Linked DNA regions of Sus scrofa. The main gene of each other region encodes a partner of the protein of the gene in region 2 in a complex. Links are inferred from orthologs where the notes say so. Each region holds a gene or a part of one and is shown on either strand. Other genes may lie near its edges.

What was found.
Region 1: EXOSC7 (region 2) and EXOSC1 share a complex: the UniProt entries of both Homo sapiens proteins name them as parts of the RNA exosome core complex. The link is inferred for Sus scrofa from reciprocal best matches to the Homo sapiens genes EXOSC7 and EXOSC1.

Annotation. Positions count from the first base shown.
Region 1 is NC_010456.5:108,838,000-108,845,777, reverse strand, and holds the start of EXOSC1 (exosome complex component CSL4), read left to right. Parts: upstream 1-2,950; 5' UTR 2,951-2,960; coding exon 2,961-3,048; intron 3,049-3,171; coding exon 3,172-3,287; intron 3,288-4,299; coding exon 4,300-4,374; intron 4,375-6,245; coding exon 6,246-6,334; intron 6,335-7,475; coding exon 7,476-7,509; intron 7,510-7,778. UniProt on the Homo sapiens protein: Non-catalytic component of the RNA exosome complex which has 3'->5' exoribonuclease activity and participates in a multitude of cellular RNA processing and degradation events.
Region 2 is NC_010455.5:28,172,977-28,180,865, reverse strand, and holds the start of EXOSC7 (exosome complex component RRP42), read right to left. Parts: upstream 4,061-7,889; 5' UTR 4,051-4,060; coding exon 3,994-4,050; intron 1-3,993. UniProt on the Homo sapiens protein: Non-catalytic component of the RNA exosome complex which has 3'->5' exoribonuclease activity and participates in a multitude of cellular RNA processing and degradation events.

The DNA of each region.
Region 1 (7,778 bases), on a different chromosome or scaffold from region 2:
AAAGAGAAGATACCCAATTCAGTAGGGATCGAGTCTCTGTACCAGGATAAAGAAACTGGCCATTCCCATCACCTCTGAGGAACTAAGATTAGAATTAAAGGGCAGTGTAGAAAAGAGAAAAAGGAAAACTTCCTACCTCAAACTTCCTACCTCCTTTTGAGTCAGACTCCTATTGGGTGGGATCATGATTTGGCCTGAAGCATTAATTTTCAAATAGTATACAGCCACAATCAAATGTAAGAGTGGGACAAAACATTTTACCCCATAGCAAATACAGGTGACTTTTTTTTTTTTTCCTCCTGGCTGCACCTGCAGTACATGAAAGTTCCAGGGCCTGGGATCAAGCCCGTGCCACAGCAGTGACCCAAGCCACAGCACTGACAACGCCAGATCCTTAACCTGCTGTGCCACCAGAGAACTCCTGAAATCCAGGTGGCCTAGATCATCCACACCATTACTCATTCCCTTACTATGGCTAATGGGGAGGTTCTCAACATCTTCCAGAATTACTGAGGCCCTCAGGAAATGCTTGCCTCAAGGGCTAGACTTACCAACTCTCACCTGCCCTGTAACTTGACCACTTAGGGCTCAACTCTGCCCTTAAATAGTTCTGTGACCTTGGCCAGGTCACCAAACCCCGTTGGGACTCGACTTTCTTGTGTTCCCATTCAATGAGGGGACAGGATTAAATACTAAGGTCCCTTACAGCTCTACCCCTTTATGATCCTATATATATACTTATATACACTTGATAAGGTATAAATGAAATGTTTATAAAGTGCTTAGCACAATACCTGGGTCATGGAAGTACTCAATAAATACTTGCTGAATGAGTGACCTGGAGGGATGCTGAAGTGGAAAGGCTGGTCAGATGTCTATCTGGCTTACAAATAACAGCAAGGACACCCCTGCCAATGTGATAACACTAAATAGGCGTCCATTGCTACATTCTTCATGATCAATAAAAAGAGAAATGAAAACCATTATTAGAATCACAGCACTTAGGAGCCAGAAGTCATTTTATCTTTTTTTTTTTTTTTTTTTTTTGCCTTTTCTAGGGCCGCTCCCGCGGCATATGGAGGTTCCCAGGCTAGGGGTCGAATCAGAGTTGTAGCTGCAGGCCTACAACACAGCCACAACAACGTGGAATCCGAGCCGCATCTGTGACTTACACCACAGCTCACGGCAATGTCGGATCCTTAACCCACTGAGCAAGGCCAGGGATCGAACCGGCAACCTTATGGTTCCTAATTGGATTCCTTAACCACTGCACCATGACGGGAACGCCCAGAAGTCATTTTAGAAAGCTAGTCCAACCAGAAATCAAGCCAAACAATAGTTCCCATTGCGGCTCAGTGGTAATGAACCCAACAAGTATTCAAGAGGTTACAGGTTCTATCCCTGGCTCCACTCAGTGGTTTAAGGATATGCATTACCACAAGCTGTAGTTTAGGTCACACACAGCTCAGATCTGGCGTTGCTGTGGCTGTGGCATAGGCTAGCAGCTGCAGCTCCAAATTAGACCCCTAGCCTGGGAACTTCGATATGCTGCAGATTTGGCCCTAAAAAGAAAAAGAAAGAAAGAGAAAGAAAGAAAGAAAGAAACCAAACATGTAAACTGAAAGCTTGTAGATGCAAAGCTACAGATCAGATTATTGTAAAGGAAGACTGAGGCCAAGCCCCTGCCCCTTATTTTAGGGATTTGTGCACAGGGCACGCAGGGGAGGGTGTACGCCAGGGAAGAGAATACTTAGTCCATGGGGCTATAACTTAACATATGAAGTTTTCATCTCATGAAACTGAGGTAAAGCAGAACTCAAAAAAACAAAACTGTGTGCTGGGGGTCAGGGGGGCGGGAGTGAACAGGACAGGAAATAGAGCCACCCACTACTGATCCCCAGCCCTAGCTCTGAGCATTCTGATCCCTGAGTAGTAGCCACAGGCCATCAGAAGAGACATCTGACATCTGCCACAGATCAGAGGAGATGGAAAGCCACTACACTCAAAGGCTCTAAGTCACCATCTCTCTTCCAAAGGGAAACCGGATATGCGGGACATGTGGGGTGAGAAGGGATTCGAAAGCCACCAGAAGGCAAAGGAAACCGAGAAAAATGTCGACAAATCTCATATGGACAAAGATGCCGTTCTCAGGGTATTTGCAGTCTCAAGTACTGGACGTCAATCATCAGAGAGAGCAGCTTTTATTCATGCGCAGACTTCCCTGCCAGACTAACACGCTCCACTTGACAAGATCCGACCGCAAGATGCAAGCTGCAGTTACAAAAACCAGGAAAAGGTTTTACTTCACATAAAGGCTGGCCTGGTCAAAGGGTGATGGACTGGAAGTAAAATAACTTGGATACCGATTTGGTCTCTACCTTGAACTATCTTAGAGACACTGCACAAGTCAAATCCTATCTCTGGAGCTGAGCTTCCAAATCTGTGAAATGGGTGAGTTGGGTTGGCTGACCTCCTTCAACTCTGCACCGTAAGACTGTCGGAAGGTGCGCTCCGCCCGGTTTGAAGGCAAGGCCGTACAGAGCAGGAACTCGGGCTCACAAGGCCGGAATAGGGCCCGACCCTAGCAAAAGGGACAGGACTGAGCAGCAAAGGCCGTGGCTTCGCTCTTACCTGCCTCCCCAATCAGTCAAATCGAATCCTGCAGCCTCCGCTGCAGCTCACTGCTACCCCCTCCAGCTCCGCGCCACAGCCCGGCCCGGCTCAACCCAACCAACCATGTCCAGCAGCCCACAGCTCCAGCCTGCAGACCCGGACCCGCCGCCTGCCCATTCTCTTCCACAGGCGCAAGCGCAAGCGCAGGAGTTCCGGAACTCCGCCCCCAAGCCCGTCCCGGGGCAACCTGGGAAATGGAGTTTACCCCTCCCCTCAAGAGTGAGTCTGGCGAGCACGTGACAGAAGTCACCAATTGGCGCGTTTCTTACTGCGGGAGTGCACACCTGATGTTGGCCAATGAGCAGTCGACCTCATTTTCCTTCGGACTTCGGACAGAGGCAGTCATGGCACCACCTGTGAGGTATTGCATCCCCGGTAAGTCGGCGGTTCCCAGAGGGAATCCTGGGCAGAGGCAAAGGCAGGAAGGCCGGACGACCAACAGCTTCTGCGGTCCTGTGGCTGATGCAGCGGTTTTTTGGGTTTTTTTTTTTTGCGCAGGCGAACGTCTGTGTAATTTGGAGGAGGGGAGCCCCGGCAGCGGCACCTACACCCGGCACGGCTACATCTTTTCGTCGCTTGCTGGCTGCCTGACGAAGAGCAGCGAGAACGGCGCGGTAAAGGGGCTGGTTTCCTCTCTCCTCGGTTTCTGCCTTTCTCATGCTGCTTTTGATGTCACGATCCTTAGGCAAGGGCCCTGCGGGCGCGATTCGGGATCCTCGTTCAGTAGAAGGAGTTGGTCTCAGAGTCCCCAGTGAGCCACAGAGTCTTTGTACACACGCCGTCTGTCTGGAACGCGCTACTCTCTTCCTTATCCTGTGTTTGTTTATTTTGACGGGGCCGCACCTGGGGCATGTGGAGATTCCTGGGCCAGGGATGGAATCCCCGCCACAGCAGTGACCCCAGCCACTGCAGTGACAAAGTGAGATCCTTAATCCACTCACCCACAAGAAAACTCCTCCCTTAGCCTATTTAATTCCTACCTAACTTTCAGATAGCCCCACTGGTACCACTTTCTCATATAAGCCCTCCTAAACACCACTAATAAAAAGAATTTTGGAAGTTCTCTTGTGGTTCAGTGGCTTAGGATGCTGCTGTGGCTTGGGTGGGTCTGATCTCTGGAATTAACTCATTCTGCAGGAACTCATCTGAAATGATTGGATTATGCCTTCGAGCAGCATTCTGTGGCCCCTTGGCTCTCCTATGTTCTAAAATTTCTTTTTTTAAGTCTTTTTTTATTAAAGTATAGTCAACTGTCAGTATTCGTCAATTTTTGCTGTGCTGCAGTGACCTAGTCATACATACATATACATTTTTTTTCTCATATTTTCTTCTATCATGTTCTATCACAAGTGATTGTGTATAGTTCCCTGTGCTATACAGCAGGACCTCATTGCTTATCCATTCTAAATGTAATAGTTTGCATCTACTAACCCCCAGCTACCAGTCCATCCCACTCCCTCCCTGTCCTAAAATTTCTAAGGCTTTCTGCTCTGGGCTACAAAAGAATCTAGTCCTCCTGTCCTTGTGTCAACTGTGGCCCGAGGCATATGCATATTACTGTCAAGCCACAAATACCTTTACTGAAGGCTTAGGCAGGATACTCATGTTTTATTGTTCTCGCTGTAGCTTCCTGTCATATCTGTGATGAGAGAAACGGATTCCCAATTATTGCCAGATGTGGGAGCTATTGTGACCTGTAAGGTAAGTTCATCCTAAACTCCCTGCTTAAGGTACCATCCAATGCTGAAATCATGATCATTGTAAAATAGCACTGTCCAGTATGGTAACCAGTAGCCATATGTGGCCGTTTAAATAAATTAAAATCTGTCATCACAGAAGGTTTTCCCGGCTTGTGCTAGTCTAGAGATTTCTAGGATAATGATCAATGCGGTCCAGTTCAAGCTTGCATGGTTCTTTTACAGAGCTGGTTCCCTGAGTATGTAGATTTACTTTTGACTGGGAAACAGAGGCACCAAAGGGTGATAAGGAAGCTTTTTTTTTTTTCATGTTCTTTTCTATTATGATTTAGCACAAAATATTAAATATAGTTTCCTGTGCTGTACAGTAGGACCTTCTTGTTTATTCCTTCTGTATATTATAGTTGGCATCTGCTAATCCCAAACTCCCAATCCCTCTCTCCCTCAGTGCCCCCTCACCCTTGGCAACCACAGATCTGTTCTTTATGTCTGTGAGTCTGTTTCTGTTTCATAAATAAGTTCATTTGTGTCATATTTTAGATATCGTAAATAAGTAATATCATGTATTTGTCTTTCTGTTTTTGACTTATTTAGTACGATCATCAAGATCCATCCACATTGCTGTAAATGGATTATTTCATTCTTTTTTGTGGCTGAGTAGTATTCCATTGTATATATGTATCACATCTTCTTTATCTAGTTATCTGTCAGTGGACATTTAGGTTGATTCCATGTCTTGGCTATTGTAAATAACGGCGTAATAAACATTGGGGTCCATGTATCTTTGCAAATTGTAGTTTTCCCAGGTATATGCCCAGGAGTGGGATTGCTGGATTGTGTGGCAATTCTTTTTTTAGTTTTTTGAGGAACCTCCATTCTGTTTTCCATAGTGGTTGCACCAACTTACTTTCCCACCAACAGTATAGGAGGGTTACCTTTTCTCCACACACCCTCCAACATTTGTTATTTGTAGACTTTTTAATGATGGAGGAGGCCTATATTTGAGCATCTGAAGCAAAACTTTTTCGGCAGAGAAACAAAAGATTTTATAAAGTCTTTGAGGGAAAGTACAAATTAATGCTGCACTTATCAGTAGCTATAATACATCAGTATTCCCTACCCATCCCCACTCTCTGCCAGTTAAATTAACTCATAGCTCTTTGTTTCTCTCTATAAATCACTCTAACAGAAATCTATTTTCAAAATCTGTCATGTTGAAAACTGCAGAGGCAGTGATCTAAATAGAATGCAGCAACTGAAACGGAGACTTAAATTCTGTTCACACTACAGGGCTCTTAGTAAGTTTGTTAAAAGTCTAGCTAGATTTGCTATATTTCCTTGTGTAGACTTGTATGTTTTTCTAAATCTGTACCGTATTATTTCATTTGATTCCCACAGTAACTGTTAGGTGTAGAGTGGCTCTTGTTTCATTTTTTGTAATCACTTATCCAGGGATAAATAAATAGCAGTTAATTTGTCTTAACTTCTGTACTTAGGAGTTCCCATCATGGTGGTGCAGAAACATCCAACTAGGAACCATGAGGTTGCGGGTTCCATCCCTGGCCTCACTCAGGGGGTTAAAGATCCGGCATTGCCATGAGCTGTGATGTAGGTTGCAGACACGGCTCAGATCTGACATTGCTGTGGCTATAGTGTAGGCCTGCAGCTTCAGATCAGATTGGACCCCTAGCCTGGGACCCTCCATATGCTGCCACTGTGGCCCTAAAAAGGCAAAAAACAAAACAAAACAAAAAATTCTACACTTAGTAGAGTTGCCTTGGACTAAAATCCTGGTAATTCCTAGTTTATCATGCCTCCTTGAGCTGGCAGCTACTAATACTGGAATGCCTAATGCTGCAATTTTCTCTATTCCAGGTCTCTAGCATCAATTCACGCTTTGCCAAAGTACACATTCTGTATGTGGGGTCCACACCACTTAAGAACTCTTTTCGAGGAACTATCCGGTAAGAAGTATTTTTGTCTTCATATTAGCTGCAGTACTTGGAATGAGATTAAGATAGAATGGGAGACCGGAATTTTTAAGAACAATTAGAATCCTTATTCATGCCTACTTCTCTCGTCTCTGTGCATTGGTTCTCCCCAAGTAGTATCCAGAGAAAATGTTGTATGTGTTAGGACAAAAAGGAAATATTAACGAGATAGTATTTAAATAAAACAAAAAGAGGAGTTCCCGTTGTGGCTCAAGGGTAATGAACCTGACTAATATCCATGAGGATGCAGGTTTGATCCCTGGCCTTGCTCAGTGGGTTAAGGATCCAGCATTACCATGAGCTGTGGTATAGGTCGCAGATTCGCCTCAGATCTGGTGTTGCTGTGGCTGTGGTGTAGGCTGGCAGCTGCAGCTCCAATTCAACCCCCAACCTACGAATTTCCATATGCCATAGGTGTGGCTCTAAAAAGAAAGAAAAACAAAAAATAGAAACATAAAAAAGAGGAGTTTTGCTGTAGCACAGCAGGTTAAGGATCCCAAGTTGTCACTGCTACAGCTTGGGTTTGATCCCTGACCCCAGGAACTTCCACAGGCCAAGGGCTTGGCGAAAAATAAATTAGTTAAAAATATAAAATGAATAGAGCTAAGCTGGGGATTAGCCTTGTGGGGATGATTCCTATCAAAGTAGAAAAAATTTTAGGAAGTACCTTTTTTTCTTCAATTTAATATAGATTAAACCCAAGGATTATAAGACAATAAAAAGGTTAATGAATGCAATGCTATATTTTGTTTTCCTATGAGTTCTTTGAGACGGGACTAACAGTTCCTGGGAGCTAGATAATTTAACATCCAAGGCTCTTTCCACCCTTGGGTTCTGTGTGGTTTTGTGGTGCTTTGGTTCAAGCTCTCCTAAGGCAACAAAGTTCCTTAGCCCTTTCTGCCAAAGTTGATTCGCTTTGCTGTAGCTGCACTATATGGTCCAAGAATGGGAAATGTGGTTTTCTCCGGGTGAGGACTGAGGATACCTCGATCTCCTCCTCTGGGTGGCAGCTGGGTCCCAGTTAGATTTGGTCTCTCTGCTCTTATAGCTAGAAGTTGCAGGATAATTCTTTCTTGCAAGTAATTAATCTTTCTTTTAATTTTTTTTTTAATAGGAAAGAAGATGTCCGAGCTACTGAAAAAGACAAGGTTGTTGGTTGATTCTTCCCCCCACCCCCCCAGGCATTAAGAATTTCAGTTTCTTTTAAGTTATTACAATGGGTTTCAAAATCTGTGGGAACGTAGAGTCCAGGGAATTTTATTTTATTTATTTATTTATTTTGTCTTTTTGCCATTTCTTAGGCCGCTCCCACAGCATATAGAGGTTCCCAGGCTAAGGGTCTAATCGGAGCTGTAGCCTCATGCCTACGCCAGAGCCACAGCAACACGGGATCCGAGCCGCGTCTACGACCTCCACC
Region 2 (7,889 bases):
TGCCCTGAAGTGAAAGCTCCATTTAAAGTCAACAGATGCCCACAGGTGACACCAACACCATGGAGCATGGCCCTGTCCACACAGAGGGGACAGAGCAGCTTTCTAGGTAAAGGCCTTCCAGATGCTACCTTGGCTCCTAATGATTTTCAAGTTGTGATCATGGGATCACAACAACCTTGCCTAGTTGGGTGTAGTGTGGAGTCATCTCCAATCTATATTTAAATTTCTGCTGTCCCATGCCAGCCTGGTGACCTCAAGCAGGTTAGTCTGTTAACATCTCTGAGTCTCTTGGTCTAGAAAGTGGAAACAGCCCTGGCCTTAAAGAGTTATAGGAAAGTCCGGAAGCCATAGATCACTCGAGGGGAACCTTCTGCACACAGGAGACCCCACTCAGCAGTTCCTTCTCTTGGTTCTGCTGGCATGTATTAGCTCACTGAATCTTCAAAAACAACCTGGAGAGAGGTTACAGACAGAACTCAAAGCGATAATTTTCAACCTCCTGTGTGTGACAGAATGAAGGGCAGGTGAATCCATCCAGAGCTGCTGTTCCTCAAACTCAGGTAACCCAGTCCTACTCCCTGACAGAAGCTGGCAGTTGGCTTGCTAACCCAACATGCTTGGGAGGATTTAGACTCAAAGCAGTCCCCTGAAGTGATGTTAACCCCCACAACCTTGCTTTTGCTTGACCAAGAGCACAGAGCTTGCTGGAGGAAAACTGTGACCAGAGGCCTCCCCTAAAAGCCACCCTGCTTAGGAAAGAGCCCAGCTCTGCAGGCTCAGGACCAAGACAGAGCAGGCAAAACAAAAGGTCGATCCTTATTCCACTTTCCAAGCCTATTAAGTAGGTCCACATTCCTCTAGGATGGGATCCTGCCCAGCCTGCAGAGCACCTGACTGAAAGACATAATGATCCAGAGAGTGGCCAGCTCTTGGGGGCATAAAACCCAATCCTCTCCTTGGAATGTGCTCTCTCTCTCTCCTTTTTCTTTTTTTTCCCTGCTTTTTAGGGCTGCACTTGAGGCATATTTAAGTTCCCAGGCTAGGGATCGAATCGGAGCTGCAACTGCCAGCCTATGCTACAGCCACAGCAATGCCAGATCTGAGCCTCATCTGTGACCTAAGCCACAGCTTGCAGCAATGCCAGATCCTTGACCCACTGATTGAGGCCAGGGGTCGAACACATATCCTCATGGACACTACAGTCAGGTTCTTAATCTGCTGAGCCACAGCAGGAATTCCTGGATCTGATCTCTGATCTTTTTTTGTGGGGGGGGGAGGGAAGAGTTAAAGAGGAACTGACAGGTTATGGAGGTCTCACAGAAGTAAAGGTGGGGGGATGGCTTGTACCAAGGTGAAGGGCAGCTGGACAGCAAGTGGCTACAGAGAAGGGAGACACTCTAGGAGAAAGAAGTGGAGGTGTTACCAGAGACACAGACAGGCAGTCACACAGTCCATGTGGTCCATGTTAGAGCCCTGGAGAGGCAGTGCCCCTACCTGGCCACAAACCCCCTTTTCTTGATATAATTTAACAATCTCTAGCCCTCCAAATCCAAAGAGCTTAAACTTCAACAGCTACACGCTGAACCCCTCATGGGGTCACCACAAAGGTTGGGGATATAGTATGGGTGGTTCTAGGAAAAGCCACACTTCTGATGAACATATCTTGACAAGGAGCCAACTGCTCTTCAGGGTTGACAACACTCCAAGTACTCCATATTTTCTTATCTCATCGTTCCTCACAACCCTTTCTGCCCCCAGATGGCTAAATTCTCAATTTACACAGGGGGCGCTAACTCAGCTACTCAGGTTAGAATCTCTCTTACTGTGAATGGTGGAGCCCAGGATGGGGCCCTGTTCAGTCGGACCCCAAGTCCTCATTCAAACAGAGGCAGAAGGCCATATGACCTCAGCCAGGAGCAGACGTTTCTGGGCTCCAAGATGGACCAGGCCAGTGGCTTCCCCATGGGCCAATGGCTGGTGGCTGCATTAAAATCCCCTAACGTTTATGAAAATACCTATTTCCAGGCCCCAGCCCCAAAGATTCTGATCCAGAAGGTCCAGTTAAAGCCCAGGAAGCTGTACTTTATGAGTAAAAGGCACTTCAAGGTTTAGGTGTCACTAGGATAGCGTGGACGTTAACAGTATCCTCTTGGACAAAGAGAGCACACATTTAGGTAGTTAAACGAATCCGAAACGATTAAGCCCTAATTCTGGAAATTCTGCAATTTGCCCCCAAATTCCTGAATGTTGTAAACAGAGAAAAAACTAGTTTGATACAAGTTATTAAAACAAAGTTTGTACAAAGAAATGCAAAATAGGGTTCTAAAGAAACCTAGAACCAACCAAGGTAGAAAAATACTATGTAAAAAAACACTATACCAATATATGTCCATATCCTAGTCAAGATCTACAAAAATGGGAGGGAGTTCAGAACTTGCCCTCCCCCTGTTCTGTTTCCCCAACATACTTTCAGAGGACAGAAGAAAGAAAAGTAGAAGTGGGGAGTCTCTTTGGCTTTCCCCTTTGAATTCCTATTTTTAAAAAAGGGCAAGTGGCATGAGAGTCGAGTTAGGCTTTGCAATCAGAAAGATCTGGATTTATATCCCAGCTCTACTGTAAGCATAGAGGGTGGAGGGGGTTGGGGGTTGTCTCTGGAAAAAGAGAGTAAGGCATGGCTTTCTGGACATAAGAGAAGCCATTTTGGCCTAAGTCTTTTTGTAATCTAAGCCTGGCTACAATGCTTGCCCTTGAACAGGTCTCAGTAAATAATGATCTTGAGGGAAAAAAAAGAATGCAGAAACAGGGACTTCCCAATGTGGCTCAGTGTTAATGAACCCGACCAGTATCCATGAGGACGAGGGCTCAGTTCCTAAACTTGTTCAATGGGTTAAGGATCTGGCATTGCAATGAGCTTGCAGTGTAGGTCACAAATTTGGCTTGGATCCAGTGTGGCTATGGCTGTGGCACAGGCTGGCAGCGGCAGCTCTGATTCAACCCCTAGTCTGGGAATTTCCATATGCCCTGAGTGCAGCCCTAAAAACAACAACAACAACAAAATGCAGGACAAAAGAAAAGTAGGAAAGAAACAATAGTTCTGCAGTAAAACAGAGTTCAAGTTCCTCCTCAAGGGATATACATGACAATGTAATATGTACCTTTGAATTGTTCTATAGGAGCTAAAGCCCTCAACCAGATGGAGTACAGTAACTACAGGCTAACACCCCCAAACTGGTCGGAACCTAAGGAACGTTTTCGTTGACCTTTTCTGACCCTCAAGCCTCCTATCAACTAAAGCTTCACCCTATTGATTTTGCCCCAATTCTTGCTGAATTCTCCTCTGCTCAAGCCCCTTCAAATACACATGTGCCCTTAGCTTGTTCCCCAATTTTGCTGTTTGAGACACTGCTTTGGAAAAGATCTCACGGGTGTCCTACTTGCAGCAAGTAATAAATCCTTCCTTCTCTCAATCTTTGTCTAGGTTGTGTCTTTTGGCTCCACACCCACCAAAACGCAAATCCAGTTTTTGGGTAACACCACCACACACTTACTAGGTGACCTTGGACAAGTGACTTAACCTCTCTGACCTCAGTTCTTTATCAGCAGAGATAATACTTACCTTCAGGACTGTTAGAAAGATACGACGAGATAAAAATTATGATAGAATATGTACCTAAAAAATGTGGGACAGCTCAGACCTCGAAGGCTGAGAGGGGATTTAATAGAATCAGGAACTACCCACCACTTCCTACCCTGGTTAGGAACCTTACAGACCCAGAAAGATGCAAGTATGCATATAGGTCTAAATGGATGCTCGCCAACAGGCCCCAAACATGCCCGCGTTGCCAGCTTCAGAATGCACACGCCGGCTGCGAGTGGTTTAATCACAAAGTAAACCCAATCGGCCGCAGTCCTCCCAGGCGAACTGAGAGCGGGAAGCGACCCGCAGAGCCAGGGGAACCCAGCGGGCCGCGCCAATGCAGCTGCTGCCGCTACCTGAACACCATGCACGATGTACACCTTCTCCGCCTCACTTAGAGCCACAGACGCCATGTTGCCGAGCTGCCCCGCCGCCTCACGTCATCAGCCCGCGTCGCCCCGTGACCACGCCCCCGCGCTCACGCGTCATCAGTCTGCGCGGCGGCCGCTCCTGCAGCAGCCGCCGTCGCTACTGCCGGGAGCTCGATGGGCTTCTCCTGCGCGCCGCCCTGTGTCTGGCCGAGTCCAGGGAGCCGCTGCGCCTCGTGCTGGGGAGCCATCGCAGCAGCCCGAGGCCGGGTGCCGGGTCGGAGGCTGCAGGGGGAGGCGGCGGCGGCGGCGGGAGCCTCACCGGGGACCTGGGACTGGGAAACTGCCTCCGGCTTCATGGTCAGTTGGGTGAGGAAACTGGGGTTGAGTGAAAAAGCTGGGGTGAGACGAGAGGAGCGGGCTGGGGCCGGGGCTGGAGGACTCGCAGTGAGAGAGGCGCGCAGCTCAGTTTGCGCAAGGCTGGAGTTGAAGTAGGGCTTGTGAGAGAGAGAGAGATCGACAGACCCTGAATGAGGGAAGGCGGACGTCGTGGTTGGTCTGGGGATTGTCTCTTCGCTCTATCTCCCGCCTCGCTGTCTTGCATTTCCCTAGTCCCTAGGGTGGTGGGGAAGAGGCGATACAGCCCCTATAGGTCGTTCCCGGCCGGAAGGGTCCGGGCCACGAGTAAGTGCTCACTAGTCCCGAGGCGTCCTCACTCACCCTAGGGATTCCTCCTACCCCCACGCCTGCTCTCTGGGGCTGACTACCGAACGCTAGCCCAGAACCTTGCCGAATCCCCTTGCCCTGGGAGGTTGCCGGAGCATTGTCCCAAAGAGAGTAGGTGGGGAGAATCTTGGTAACCGGAGCTGGAGAGGGGCGTAGTGCCCAGTCGTCCCCAGCGCTTCACAGTAGTGGCTGAAAACCCCAGCTTGGTCGTTGAGATCCGTGGACGAAAAATGAGAGCCCCAGTCGTGGCCGAGTAGGAATATGGGCCTTGAATATCTGGAAAGGATACCTGCAAGGTGAATATGGGGTCACTGAAGGAGCCCATTAAGGCGGGGCTAACAGGGCACGAAACATTTTAAAGGAGCCACGTGGATAAATGGGGAAAGTTAACCCAAAACGATGGAAGCAAAAGGTGATCTGATGACTTTTCCAAACGCCCCAATTTTGAGGAACCTACTGTTCTGAAAAGTGAAAGTAACCCTTGATTGCTTGATCTTCCAAAGAACTGTTAGGCATTTTTCAGTAACTTCAATACGGTTGCACAAATAAGTAGTGGGACCTTACTATAGATGGGCTTTGTGCTAGCTTTGGAACACTAGGAAATGAAACACCCCTTCTGCCCAGAGAAGGTCCCTGGGCAGAGGGGGAAGGCTCCAGGGCCAACACAACCACAGAACATGGTGGTTAAGAGCTATGATAGTGGCACCAATGAGCACAGGAAGATAGGGCAGTGGCAGGAGGAGGGTATGGAGAGGAAATACCTGCCCACAATCTTAAGCACTAAACTGCTGAGCCCCACAATAGATGATCACTTCTTAGTAAACTGAACATTAGTTGTTTCTGATGTCTCTACATAGTCATCTGCAGGTGCACCTACAGCGAAGACATCTTGCAGTGTTGGACTTTGCCCTCCAGGGAAACTAGGAGAGTTGAAACCGGAAAGGTTTCCTCCCTAATGAAAGCACAGGTGCCCCACCTGTTGTGTGTGATTAGCTGCCTGGATTCTACATGAGGACTTCCGTGATGTGATAACAAGGGACTGCTGATGTTGGAAAAGGCATTTTGTGCTAGAGATTGCTCAGAAAGGAGAGACCCTGAATGTGGAATTTTACTAGCTAGGATATCTAAGAGTACTGAGGATTTAAAAAGTGTCAGTGAATAGATCAGAAAAGACACAGAAAGGTCTGAGTTTGGATACCATGAAGTCATCTTTACATTAAAAGCTGTCAGTGTGTCTTCAAAAATACAGAACATACATGTGAAGTGTTCCCCTGATAATTGACTAAAGATTCCTTGCTAGCGAAAGGTTGACAGCATTTGCTAAATAATATTATGAACAACATCTGATATGTTAGACCAAGAAGATATAAGAGGTGTAAACAGGAGTTCTCATTGTGGCTCAGTGATAATGAACCCAACTAGGGTCCATGAGAATGCAGGTTCAATCCCTGGCTTCCCTCAGTGGATTCAGGATCCAGCATTGCTGGGAGCTGTGGTGTAGGTCACATACGAGGCTTGGATCCCAATTTGCTATGGCTGTGGCTTAGGCCAACCGCTGCAGCTCTAATTGGACTCCTAGCCTGGGAACTTGCATACGCTGCCTATGCAGCCCTAAAAAAAAAAAAAGTGTGTAAACAATAGAATGTTTATTTTAAATTCTCCACTAAAACAATGACACCTTCACTGATTGTTTTACTTTAATACTGCTAGAACATTTTTATCACATTTGTTGTGATAATGCACTAGACATTTCAAAATCCATAAATTCATAGTTCTTTTTGGATTGTTGAAGCAATTCTAAGATTGTATATTGGCCAGAAAAATCAAAAAGCCAAAGATGACACATTCTTCTATTAGCCAGCTTGTTTTCCCGTTGCCGTCAGATTTTTGGGGGGGTAGGGGGGACATACTGTTTTGAGTTATGTCAGTTCTAAATCTCTGTACCCTTATTAATTTTATCTAACATCAGCTTAAGCAAAATAGTTCTTATTATGTGCCCAGCACTGTTCTAAACTACGAAGATTAATTGATTCAGTCCTATTAACAATAGCCCTGTGAGGCAGGTACTGTTATCCCTGTTGTACATATTGGGAAACTGAGGTATGGAAGGGTTAATTGTCTTATCCAAGGTCACAAGTCACATAACTAGTAAGTGGGAGAGCCAGGATTTGAGGACAACCTAGGTCCCATACCTGCATTCCTAACCACCCACTTATGCAGGTGTCCCCTTTCATTTCCTTGACCAGAGTATTTGGTGAAAGAGGCTTTTGTTTGTTATGGAATTGGCAGTGCCCTGTAAGCTATACTTAGTTTTAATTCCAAAAGCAAGGAGTCCATTCAAGCACAAATGCACGTCCCTTGAATCCTTTTTCTAGAGGAATGTTGAACATGGTGCTGATGGGATACTCGTGTGTCTGTTTCATCCAACCCTTTTCAATTAGGGAAAGCGTTACATATAGGCAGAGAAGAGTTTAACTGAAAGTAGCTAAGAGCCCTTAACAGCAGAGAGGACCAATGGATCTGGTACAGAGGGTTGAGATAGGCATGGAGACCCAGATTACAACCTTGTGCTTACTCCCAGAATAGATGTCTAGAAGCTCTTCAAACAATCAGGAAGTGTCTGTTTGCATGCCTGTGAGTCTCTAGTGTTCTCCATGGGCCTGAAGAGATGAACTGAAAACAAACACCTGCCTAAAAGGAGTTAGGATTTATTGCTATTATATACAGGGCATATTATATATCCTAAAAGGAGCCCAGGCTCTTAAACTAGTACATGAACAAGATAATAAAATCAAATGCTCAGTTGAGACACATGGTAATTAGAAGAGAGGCCAGACTATAATAAGGTGCTAATTGTGCAGGCCAGGCATCAAGGGCAACAGGTAAACAGCTGCTGCTAGCCACTGGCGGGCAGCAGTAACATTATAGAGGTGGAGTAAATCTGTCCCACCTAGCCTGAGTTAATTAAAGCAATAAAAGTTGGTTACGGAAGAGCTTGGGACAGTGCCGAGTCCATGGTGCTGAAGTTGCAGAGAGCTCTTAAAAGCCTAGCAAGAGAACATTTTATTTCCAGCCTTAAACAGAGGTAGCTGAGTTTTAGGCCTTTTCTTTTGCCTTCTCGTAATTAGCCCAGTACCCCCAGAAAAGCAAAAATGAGC